Linked DNA regions of Struthio camelus. The protein of the gene in region 2 interacts with the protein of the main gene of each other region in a pairwise test. Links are inferred from orthologs where the notes say so. Each region holds a gene or a part of one and is shown on either strand. Other genes may lie near its edges. The genes, in order: PPP1R16A, TPP2 and POLB.

Evidence for each region.
Region 1: the proteins of TPP2 (region 2) and PPP1R16A interact in binary tests that used the Homo sapiens proteins (3 or more experiments, as listed by UniProt). The two-hybrid records come from large-scale screens. The link is inferred for Struthio camelus from reciprocal best matches to the Homo sapiens genes TPP2 and PPP1R16A.
Region 3: the proteins of TPP2 (region 2) and POLB interact in binary tests that used the Homo sapiens proteins (3 or more experiments, as listed by UniProt). The two-hybrid records come from large-scale screens. The link is inferred for Struthio camelus from reciprocal best matches to the Homo sapiens genes TPP2 and POLB.

What each region holds. Positions count from the first base shown.
Region 1 is NC_090943.1:172,443,979-172,447,722, forward strand, and holds the start of PPP1R16A (protein phosphatase 1 regulatory subunit 16A), read right to left. Parts: upstream 2,575-3,744; 5' UTR 2,551-2,574; intron 1-2,550. UniProt on the Homo sapiens protein: Inhibits protein phosphatase 1 activity toward phosphorylase, myosin light chain and myosin substrates.
Region 2 is NC_090942.1:162,708,123-162,711,866, forward strand, and holds the start of TPP2 (tripeptidyl-peptidase 2), read right to left. Parts: upstream 2,665-3,744; 5' UTR 2,572-2,664; coding exon 2,410-2,571; intron 1-2,409. UniProt on the Homo sapiens protein: Cytosolic tripeptidyl-peptidase that releases N-terminal tripeptides from polypeptides and is a component of the proteolytic cascade acting downstream of the 26S proteasome in the ubiquitin-proteasome pathway.
Region 3 is NC_090968.1:7,954,639-7,958,382, reverse strand, and holds the start of POLB (DNA polymerase beta), read left to right. Parts: upstream 1-1,001; 5' UTR 1,002-1,130; coding exon 1,131-1,191; intron 1,192-1,260; coding exon 1,261-1,318; intron 1,319-1,514; coding exon 1,515-1,581; intron 1,582-2,166; coding exon 2,167-2,241; intron 2,242-2,759; coding exon 2,760-2,818; intron 2,819-3,396; coding exon 3,397-3,446; intron 3,447-3,744.

The DNA.
Region 1 (3,744 bases), on a different chromosome or scaffold from region 2:
GGGACCTTCAGAGCAGCCAGCAGCGAACGCAAACCGATTAAAAGCGCCCGCCGGGCTCCGCGGCCGGCCGCGGCGCGCCCTCCCCGAGGAGGGGCCCCGCAGCCAGCGGGACGCCAGGAGCTGGGCAGCCTTCGCTCCCGCCGGCGTCCAGCGCGGCAGCAGTTAACGGCAGGACACGAAACCGCCAGCTTCAAGGTTCAAACTAATCTCTGGCTGCAGAGATTAGGACGAGACCTTCAAAGGGTGCAGATTATCCCACATTTGCTTACTTAGAGCTTTTCGGACGCTTCCTGGGAGGCAGCCGCAGCAGCTCCACGATACCGGCTACGGGGAGCCCCAGCCGAAATCCGAGTTAAATCTACGGTACTACTATGGGTTAACCACCAAGTTTTAACACGGCCCTTTCAGCGCTGGTTCGTATCAGTGCTGCCCATTACCTATGTCGTATCACAGGGCTTAACATACGCTCTTTTCAGACGCTTCTGATTTTTAATCGTTTAAACAGGGAATGATATTTTTTATTCACATCAAGCTACGTTTAGCTGGAAGTTAAAACGCACAAAAAGAACCCAAGAGAATGAATTATGCAAAACAGAACTGCCAAAACGAACTAGGCATACAAGAAAAGTAAATCATCAAAAAATTTGACATTTGAAACTAGCTAAAGCACAAAGAGTTTGACATTTGAAACTAGCCGAAGCACAAAGGGACAGGCCTGAAGAAGTTAAAGATTCCCCGCCATTTCCTATTCTGGAGACAACCGAAGGAGCAGCATCCTCACGCTCATTAAAATGGGTGGATGGCTCACATGCACAGAGCAGCTTCCTCGCTAAACGGCGTTAATGGACACCAGCAAACGCAGGCGGTAACGCCGGACATTACACTTTCAAATTTCTTTCCGACCGTGTACGCTTTTAAGAAAAAAAGCGCTCATCTTTTATTTATTGCTCTTCACATAACCAGCATCGATTCCCCAGGGGTAGAAACGGAGCAACGCGCTGACCCGGACCGATGAGCTCGGTGTTTCGCCGCAGCGGCCGCCCCGAGCGTCCCGCGGGAGCAGCGCTGCCCGCGCGAGGACGGAGGGCCCCCAGCCGAGGCCAGCCAGGGCTCAAGCGACCTAAGGCAACTACCTTAAAAGCGAGGCTCGGCGGGGAAAGGCGGGTGGCGTGGGATGGGCAGGGGAAGCCGGTCTCAGGCGTCCTCGTCCTCACCTAGGGCAGGCGAGGCCCCTGCGCTGGCAGCTCACGCCCAGGGAGGCTCTAGGAAAACAGGTTCTTACAGGTTTTTTAAATACCTGCCGAGGCATCCAGCCCGCCCGCGCGCCTCCTGCGCGGCCGGCTGGCGGGGGCAAGGCCGCGCCGGCCAGTGGCTTCACGCAGCGGCTCTCCGTCCCACCCGGACACCAGCCCGAAGCGGCACCTAACGCCCGGCTCCAGGAGGCGGGTCGGGGAAGACCACCTTCCCCGCTGTTTCCAAGTGTTTTCTCGCCCAGCTCAAGTCCCTCCGAGCTCCTCTCCCGGAGGAATACCCAACCCACGAGTGCTCCGAGCGGCTCCACGGAGATTTAGGCAGCCCCCAACTGCTCTGACACCCCCAAAGGCCCCCTAAGGAACCACTGGCCGCCCCACAGCCAGCGGCCAGGAGAGCCCCCAGGCTCCCCCGGCACACAGCACAGCCCGCCCGGCCCCGAAGGCTTCCCCCTGCCCCACGGAGGGACTCAGCCCCCCGCCACGGGCTTGGGGGCTCATCCACATCACCCTCCCGGTGATCCTGCCCCACTCGCCACGCACCCCCATGGGGGATTCAGCCCTCCCTGGGAGCCCCCAGGCCATCGCACCAGGGATGTCCCAAAATACACCCCGAGGGAGGGAGGGGGGCCCTCCACAGCTCATGTGGGCTGCCCCATGGGGGGGGACCCCCCACATCCCGAGGAGGAGGATCCCCACATCCCGGGGGGGGGGGACCACCGAAGGCCCTATGAGGGGAATCCCCCTGCATCCTGGGGGGGTCAACCCCGACATCCCAGGGGGGCCACCAAATGCCCCATGGGGAGATCCCGCCCATATCCGCCCCATATCCCGCAGGAGCCAAGCCCCATATGCCGGGGGGGGGGCACCAAATGCCCCCTGGGGGGGGATCCCCCCCCAGAGCCCAGCAGAAAGGCCCCCCCAAACACCTCAGCACCCTCCCCCCACATCCCTTGTCCCCAAATGCAGCACAGGGGGCAGGGAATGTCCCCCACAGCCGGGGGAGGGGGGAGACCCCCACACCCTGTGAGGGCCCAAACGCCCCACAGATGAGGGGATCCCCCCCACTACCCGGGGGAAAGCCCCCCCCACACCCCCTGGGGAGGGAGCATCCCACAGCCGGGGGAGGGGGGGACCCCCACACCCTGTGAGGGCCCAAACGCCCCACGGATGGGGGGGGGAAGGGAGCCCCCCCCCAAGCCCAGGGCCGCCCCTAGACGCCCCACGGAGGCGGCCCCGGTCCCCCCTCCCCGTCCCTGGCCCAGCCCGGGGGCTGCCCCCCCCCCCGCCGCGGCCCTACCTGCCGCCGCCGCCGCCGCCGCCGCCCTGCCCGGTGTCGTTCCCTGCTCGGGGCGGGGCCCGCGCGCGCCGCCGCCGCTCGCCATGGCAACCGGCCACACTTCCGGTCCAGGCCGGAAGGGGCGGGGCTCCGGCGGGAAGGGAGGGGGCGCCCCCCCCCCCCCGCTGAGCCGCCATGCGGAGCGTGGCTGGGCGCCACCCCGCCAGGCGGAGCGAGCTGCCACACTCAACATGGCGACGGGAAGGGAACGAGAGGGGAGCCCGGGGCATGCTGGGAGCGAGCGAGGGAGAGGCCGCCGCGGAGCGAGCGCCCCCTGCTGGCCGGCGGGGGGGGGCACGACCCTCTGCCCTGGGGTCACGGGGTCACCGCCGCCTGCCCTGGGGTCACAGCCCAAACTAGGGGTCATGGGGTCACAGCCCCCTGCCCTGGGGTCATGGGTGTCATGACCCACTGCCCTGGGGTCATGGGGTCACGGCCCCCTGCCATGGGGTCACAGGGGTCATGGCCCCCCCGGGGTCATGGGGTCACTGCCCACTGCCCTCAGGTCATGGGGGTCATAGCCCCCCTGGGGTCATGGGGTCACGGCCCCCTGCCCTGGGGTCACATCCCCACCTTGAGGTCATGAGGTCACTGCCCACTGTCCTGGGGTCACAGGGGTCATGGCCCCACCCTGGGGTCATGGGGTCACGGCCCCCTGCCCTGGGGTCACCAGGGCTCATGGGGGCCCAGGGATCATGGCCCCACCCTGGGGTCAAAGGGTCCCAGGGTCATGGGGGCCCCTGCCCTGGGGTCATGGGGGGATCACAGCCTCTGGCCCTGGGGTCACAGGGTCATGTGGGGTCACTGCCCCACCCTGGGGTCATGAGGTCCCAGGAGGTCACGACCCCCCACCCTGGGGTCAGGGGTCACAGTCCCCTTCGCTCTGGGGTCGGTGGAGGTCGGCACCCCTTGCAGAGCTCTGGGGTCCCGGGGGGACCCAGGGGGTCACAGCGGGTGCTCCCAGTGGGTCCCAGCCCCCAGCGTGGGTCCCAGTGCTCCCAGTGAGTCCCAGCCTTGGCTGCGGGTCCCAGTGGCTCCCAGTGGGTCCCAGTCATGGCCGTGGGTCCCAGTGCTCCCAGTGGCTCCCAGTCCCTGCCATGGGTCCCACTGGGTGCCTGTGGGTGCAGCCCCCGCACAGCATGCCGGTGAGGGCCC
Region 2 (3,744 bases):
AGTTCAGCCACAGAAATTGATAATAATTAAGTTATTTCATAAAAGTCACTCTGTTGCTGCCAAAAAAGACAAGACAATGGTCAAGCCTACATTGGAGTTCAACAAATACAGACAAATACCTCCAAGGTTTTGAATTTTCATTGTTTAGAAAAATCCAAATTTAAATAGCTGTAAGAAAAGATACTGCAACAAGTATAAACAGGAGACAAATTTCTGTTTTCCAGAAGGTAACAAATACTGCTTTGAGGAAACCTGCTATGGAACAGTTTTCACTGCAGAAATCAACACGGTTAACTCTGCTCACAGAAATTCACGTTCATTTAGAAGAACAGCAGCTATGTAGTAGTGAAAATTTACTTGGGAAACTCCATGCACAGGCATTTATACCATAGAATTTTCTATCATCTGTAATTAATCCCTTCAGATGCCAGTCTTCACTCACAGAGAAGTTAACAGGTAACCTTGAACAGAAGTTACGCCAAAAAGAGGATTCCACCAATAATAAATTATATGCATGCTAAACCTGAGATTATCAGAATTGGGCATTTTTCAATATACCTCTAAAAAAAAAAAGTAATAAATTGCTCAGCGATCAAAGTGCAAGAAAATAAAAATGGAATTGCAACCCAAGGCAACCTCTTTGACACTGGTGAGTCATACTGCAACAGGTGGCCAGAACATAGATTTATGCTGTAGTGAATTTCAGTAGCTTTAAAAGTTCCTTCCTAGCCAGAAATTTTATGTGAAACTCCTACACCGTACAGATCGTCACCCTCTATATGAATAGCAGGTCCACATGCGTACATGTCTGTGCAATCAGAATCAACAAATCAGTCTTTCAGGTCAGACACAAGAAACTTGAGTTTCAAGTGCAAAGGTCTAAGGTTCAATTCCTAATGGCAGCGATCCAGTCCGATTCACAGTCATTTAGCGTAAAGTAACTGATAGAGCTTTCAGTGCTGACATGAATTGTTTGGCACACTGCCCACCAGTAGTAATGGTACAATGAAACTTACGGTTCAACTGTTTTTTTGTCTTCCCCTCTCCCTTGAAGTCCTTTATCTTGGGGGCGGGGGGGAAGGGAGGGCAGAATTAAGTGATATTAATTTTCTTTGTATGATTTGATTTTTTTCTAAGTAATGAATTTATTATAGATGTAAAGAATGTTTTCACCCCAAAATTTTAAAAAAAGAAATTACTATATAATTAAAATATTTTATAGCATGTCTTAGTCTCAACCGTGCAAACTCATGCTTTCTTTGTTCCTCACATACGCAACCCCTAGAGATTCAGATTTTTTGCTTTCACATGTGAAACACTTACCTGAACCCCACAAGGAGTCAGTTCAGAAAGCTGAACTTAAAGATCAAAGTTAGGCCTCTGAGCTAGGTCACTGAAGAGTAAAATCTGCACCAGTGCCAAATAAAGAGCAGAAACCACCACAATCCCTGCTTATATAAAGGATGCAGTTCCCATGGGAGCTGCATACAACCCTCTCCGAATCCTGACAGAAAACATGCTGAAGAGAAGTTGGAAGTAGGAGCAACAAAAAAGGCCATATATACACTGCATAATTAAGAAGATGTTAAAAAGCAAATACTGAAAGAATCAAGGAAAAACTGTGAAACGTCCAAATTAAAAATCACCTACACAGAATTTTACAAAACCTGAGATCAAGATTGTAATGACAAATGGGGTGTACTCTGAGCTATAGACAAAGCTAGCAGATGTAAAAAAAGGTCAGCATATACAAATCTGATAAAAAATTTGATTGCAATACAAGAAAAATACATTGACAACAAAGGTATGCAAAATTTGCTAAAACACATTTTTCATACAAAACATTTAAGTGGCTGTTTGAACTCCCTTGCTACTACTGAAATAACGCTAACGTTTAAGAAAAATACGAAGCACTCTTTTCGAGTAGGTTCTGCGAAAAAGGAGACAGCCAAAGGGATTAAGTGCCCTAAGGCATCTGTGGAAGGCTCAAAAGAAGAAACCTCCTACAAATAACCGAAGGGAAACACACAGATCTACAGGATTTTCTCCGCTCTCCCACAGCCGACCTCCGCGGAGCTCACACTAATGCAGCACGGGCATGAATGCTTAGCGGGAATCCTAAGGAAAACAACAACAACAACAACCGCAAGCCTCTCACGGCCGCCGTGGGGGCGCCAGACGCCTCGTCCCGGCACGACCCCTCCGCGGGGACCTCCTTCCTCCCGCCCCCCCTCCCCCGGCGGCTTCCAGGGCTCCGGCAGCCGCCGGGCCGGCCGCTCCGTGCTCCCCGCTCGCAGCCAACGGCCGCCCGCCACCCTGTCCCGGCGCGGCGCCGCCGCTGCCTGTCGGCGGTGACTCAGGGCCGCCGCCCTGAAGCGGCTCCTCCCGCCGCACGCGACCGCCCGTTACCTGCATGCCCGGGGCGCCGGGGTCCACGCCGGTGTCCAGCACCGCCAACAGCACCCCCCGCCCGTCGAAGTCGGGGTAGCGGGCGAGGAAAGCGGCGGCGCCGGTCTCCTTCTTGGGCAGGAGGCCGTGGAAAGGGAACGGCTCCTCCACGGCGGCCGCCATGATGGGAAAGGGAAACGGGGGCCGCGCGCCGCCAGGCAGCGCGAGAGCACAGCGCAGCCGGCGGGCGGGGGCAGTGGGCGCGGGGAGGCCAGGGCGCATGCGCGCGCCCCCTCCCCAGGGGCGCACCCTGGCGCGACCCGGAACGCGAGCGCACCGGGCCTAAACCAGCCAATAAGGCCACGCAACGTCCTGGCGCCCGCCCGCGGCGCTGCAGCCAATCAGAAAAGGGAAATTCTCCACGCGCTGGAACTTCTGGGGAGGGGGGGAGAAGAGCGGGGGAGGCGGGAGAGGAACGGGGGGGCCGCGCCCTTAAAGTGACCAGCGCCCTCCCTGCCTTCCTGAGACGCGGGGGTGGGGTGGGGAGGGGAGGGGAGCGGAGCGGAGCGGAGCGGAGCGCAAAGGCGGGTGGCGGATGGCTGGCAGAGCTGCGGGGACACCGGCCGTGGCCGGGGTGGGGGGTTACGGCCATCTTCCCGTGTGAGCAGGCCGGGCTCCAGCTCTGATTGGGCCGCCCTCAATCCCCTGCTCCCGAAGCGGGCGGGCCTCGCCTAAGCAGGGAAAACGGCTCCGCCGCGGGCGGGCGCCGTTTTCCGTCCCAGCCTCGGGCCGGCGGCGGCGGGCGGGCGGCGTGGGGGGAATCCCTCAGGCAGCGCTGAGAGGAAACTCCAGTAGTGGCGCACGAAGGGTACCCGTCACCCGCTGAACAAAAACAACATGAAAACTTATAAATATTCAAACGTTGCCTCTTCTGCTGATTGATTTGTACGCGAAAAACACGTTATGCGGTTGAGCTGCCCCCCCCCGGGGCACTGTTACCTCCGTTACTGTGGGAGGGATAAACGGTATTTACAGCGTGCTGCGATTTAATGCCTGTGCAACTACTTAGTTCTAAGGGAAACAAGACTAGCTGCAGGCTATTGACAGCTCCAAATGAAATGTTTGGCGAGATAAGTCATAAATCTTAGCTTTAGGAGAGGTTTTAAAGTCGGTGTCCCGCTTTCCTGATTGCAGAAAAGCTTGCCAGCAAAAACTGAATGAACTGTAGAATCTCAGAAACCAAATACAGCACTTAAAAAAAGCAATCTTGTTCATAGGGCCTGACTCCCGGCTTTAGCCATATAAATTGGCAGTAAAGGTGCCATCCATTCTTGTTATTTCAGTATCAATGCGCTT
Region 3 (3,744 bases), on a different chromosome or scaffold from region 2:
CACTCCAGGGACGCCCCCACCTCTCTGCCACGTTCCCGCACCGGGCTCTGCCAGCCTCCCCGCACCCCCAGGCTGTATCCGCGGGGGCGAGCGCACGCCTCGGCCCGCGCTGGGGAGGAACCGGGGCCCGAAAGGCGAGGCACGGGAAAAAGAAAGTCAAACCCGCGCTCCTGCTGTGGAGCCCCTCTGCTCTCCGCCTCCACGCAGCGACGGTCCTGGCGGGCAGGAAACATCCCAGGGCCCGCGGCCACCCGAAGGGACGCGCTCGCTTCACCGGGACCGGCGGCCCGCCCCCGCCGCTTCCGAGGGTAAGCGCGGCTCTGCTCGCCGCCATGCTGCTCCTGGGCACCGCGCATGCGCCGCCTCAGAGCGCGCCAGCGGCGGGGTGAGCGGCAGCGGGGCCGCTACCTCGAAGAGCGCCCTCCAGCGAGCCGGCTGGCTGCAGCCCGGCGCACTGCGCCCGATTGCGCATGCGCGGTATTGATAGCGGCTTTAACCGGTTGCTAGGAGAGCGGCACCGACCACGGCGAGAGCTCACTGCGCATGCGTACGCCGCCTGGCTACAGCCCCGCGTTGTGACGAAGCGCAGGTAGCAGGGACAGCGGTGCTGCAGTGCGCATGCGTGAGCCGCTCACCCAGTTTTTCCCCCTTGTAATCAAGAGAGGCGAGCAGCGGATTTCCCCGCACGAGTAGTTGCCGTGACCGTGTTGCTGCTTCCCGGTACTCACACATAGTCCCGAACGCACGGAGGCTGCACAGACCGCTGTCGAGACACGAGGCGGCACCAACGGGCAGAAACCCGCTGTGCCGTCGGCCGGGGAGCACCGAGAAGGGGCGGGAGCGCGGCCGGTTGCCGCAGCAGTACGAGCAACCGTGGAGCTCGGGCGGTCACGGCGGGCTGCAGTGCGCACGCGTCTCTGGCTGGTGCCGCGCCGAGGCGGGCGGCGAGCAGCAGGGGCCACGGTTTCTGACGTCACTGGCGACGCTCCGCCCTGGGGCAGGAGTACGCATGCGCATTGAAGGCGGCCGTGCTTTGCTGAGGTCACTGCCGGAAGCGCCGCGTTGCGGTATCCGGTTCTCCCCCCGCCGGCCGCTCTGGTCTCCCGCGGCCGGGTCCGCGAGCGTCCGGGATGAGCAAGCGGAAGGCCCCGCAGGAGAGCCCCAACGAGGGCATCACGGACTTTCTCACCGGTGGGTGATGACCGGGGCGTACGGGACTACGGCGGGGTTGGCTTGCTCTAACGGTGTCTTCCCCTGTAGAGCTGGCGAACTACGAGCGGAACGTGAACCGTGCTATTCACAAGTACAACGCATACAGGTATCGCGGCCCGCCCCCGCGCCGGGGCCTTCCCCGCGCCGGGGCCCGCTCCCCCCCCCCCCACCTCACTGCCTGTTCCCGGGATCCGGCCCACTCACCTGCGCCCCCCTGTCGCGTCGGAGGGGGGCACTGCTCCCCCCGACGGAGGTGGCAGTGCTGCTGCCTGGTTCAGTCGCTGACTGGTGCTGTTTTGCAGAAAAGCAGCCTCTGTGATTTCCCGGTATCCCAGCAAGATCCAGAGTGGGGCTGAGGCCAAGAAGCTGGTAGGTGCCTGTACCATGGTGGTAGGGCCTCAGGTTGGCAGGGGCTATGATGCCAGGGGCTCCTGGAAGGGGCAGGAGCAGCACGGGATCAACCCTGCCTGTGACAGCTCTGCTGCCCTTCCCCTTTCCAGTGATGTCTGGGTCAGGGCTCAGAGGTGGGCGTGGGGTTGGCTGCAGTGGGGAGTGCTGTAGAGGTTTCATGGCCGGAACTGCAGGCACCCGGTCCATCTGGCTGCAGCCCTACTTGTAAAAGGCTGCCGTTGGGGAAAAATTCCCCTTTATTCTGTTACTGCCCTGCTAACCTTTGGGCCTTTAGTTGTAAGAGTCAAAGCCTGGTTTCAAACAATTGCTTTCAGGAGACTTTTAATACAGCCCTTCATTTATGATGGTTGATGCAGCTTGCGTTTTACCATGGAGTACTGCACTACTTCATGATCTCAATGACCTCCTAATTCTTACTGGACTCTAAATTCTGTGTTGTAACTTCTATTGTTGGGTGTTTTTTTTTTTCTTAGCTATAGTGGCTATAAATGATTTGGAAGTTAACTTCTTGTTCTCCCCACCCCTTCTTCTTCCAATATTTAGGATGGAGTAGGTGCTAAAATAGCTGAGAAGATAGATGAGTTTTTATCCACTGGAAAACTACGCAAATTGGAAAAGGTGGGCTTCTTTCCTGTGCACTATACTTCACAATAGTTGCTTTTCTTTGCACTTTGCAAAGTAGCCTATTTACTTTGTGAAACTTTGGGGATTATCTTTGGCGAAACTGATGTCAAACCTGAGAATGGTGGATAGGGAATTTATGGGGAGTAGAAATTGGGGAACAAGAAGCTCAGCTGAAGCCTCAAAACTACCTGTTCCTGAAAAAATTTTGGATAATATCATCAGCATATGAACGTCTTCACAGTCTTCCGGATCCAGACTTCCATTTCTCAGAGGAGTTTTGAGTTTTAAATGTGCTGTTTACCTTAGCATAGGTAGTTAGGGCAGAGGGTTTTCAGGCTTGGTATCTATGGCGTTGCCATGGTGCACAATATTACTCTTCGTTCTGCTTTGCTTTGATTTATAGTAAGCCTCCAAAACAGAATCTGAATGGGCAGTATTATCTTCTCAAGTTTTTTGTCTTTATTGCAAGTGGAGTGCAGAAGGGTTTGGTCTGTGTTCTTTCATTTTTCCAGATTCGTCAAGATGATACAAGTGCATCTATCAACTTTCTGACCCGAGTTACTGGCATCGGGTAAAGCTTTCTCTTTGCCCCCCTTTCTCCCGCTTGCTCGCTCTTTGCACCTGCTTTTGGGGAAGAAAGGGCAACCGTTCACTTAAGTATGGTGCTAATGACAAACTCTCCAGCCAAACTGGAGTTTGGACTGCTTTGCTGTACTGTAGGCTGCAGGCCGGAGCCTCATTTCTTAAGTGCTGGTTCAAATACAATCCTGTTGCTGTGGCTACAATTTGGCTCAAAGACTGATTATGTTTAAAGTAGTCCTTATCATGCATGCGATTAGATCCCAGTGTTGTTGGCTAAAGCAATATTCCTTATTTGGTGAGGGTGTTTTTTTCTTTCTTTTTTCTTTAAACAATTGTATAGCACTATATAGTTGTATCAATACTAAAAATGTGCAGCCCAAGCCTTGGATACCCATCTCTGCTAACTGAAAGTACAGACTACAGATATGTGTGCCAAGTGTACGGCAAGCATCAGAAGTGACTTTCGTCTTGGTCTTGAAGAAGCTAGAGGATTATAATGAATTCTAATGTTCTATTCAGTGTTACGAGATTCTTACTGTTTCTGATTGCAAATTGGTCTCTTTGCAGTCCTGCTGCTGCTAGGAAGTTTGTAGAGGAAGGAATTAAGACTTTAGAGGGTGAGTGTATGTCATATGCTGTCTTTGGGTCCTCAGTTCACACTGCAGTATCACTTCTTCTGTCCAGCTGCCTGTCTCAGAGTGGTACTGTGATAGCAATTACATCTAGTTTTTGATGAAAGCGCTTTAAAAAAATAAAGTTATTGCACAGAGTGAACGCATTATACCTTCCAGAGTAAGATGCTTACAGACTTCACAGAAAACAACATGGATTTTGTCACACAGACGAATGGCCTGTTGAAGTCAGGCTTTATCAGACAGTGCCGCGTGCATTTTGACTTACGCTGTCAGCTGTTGA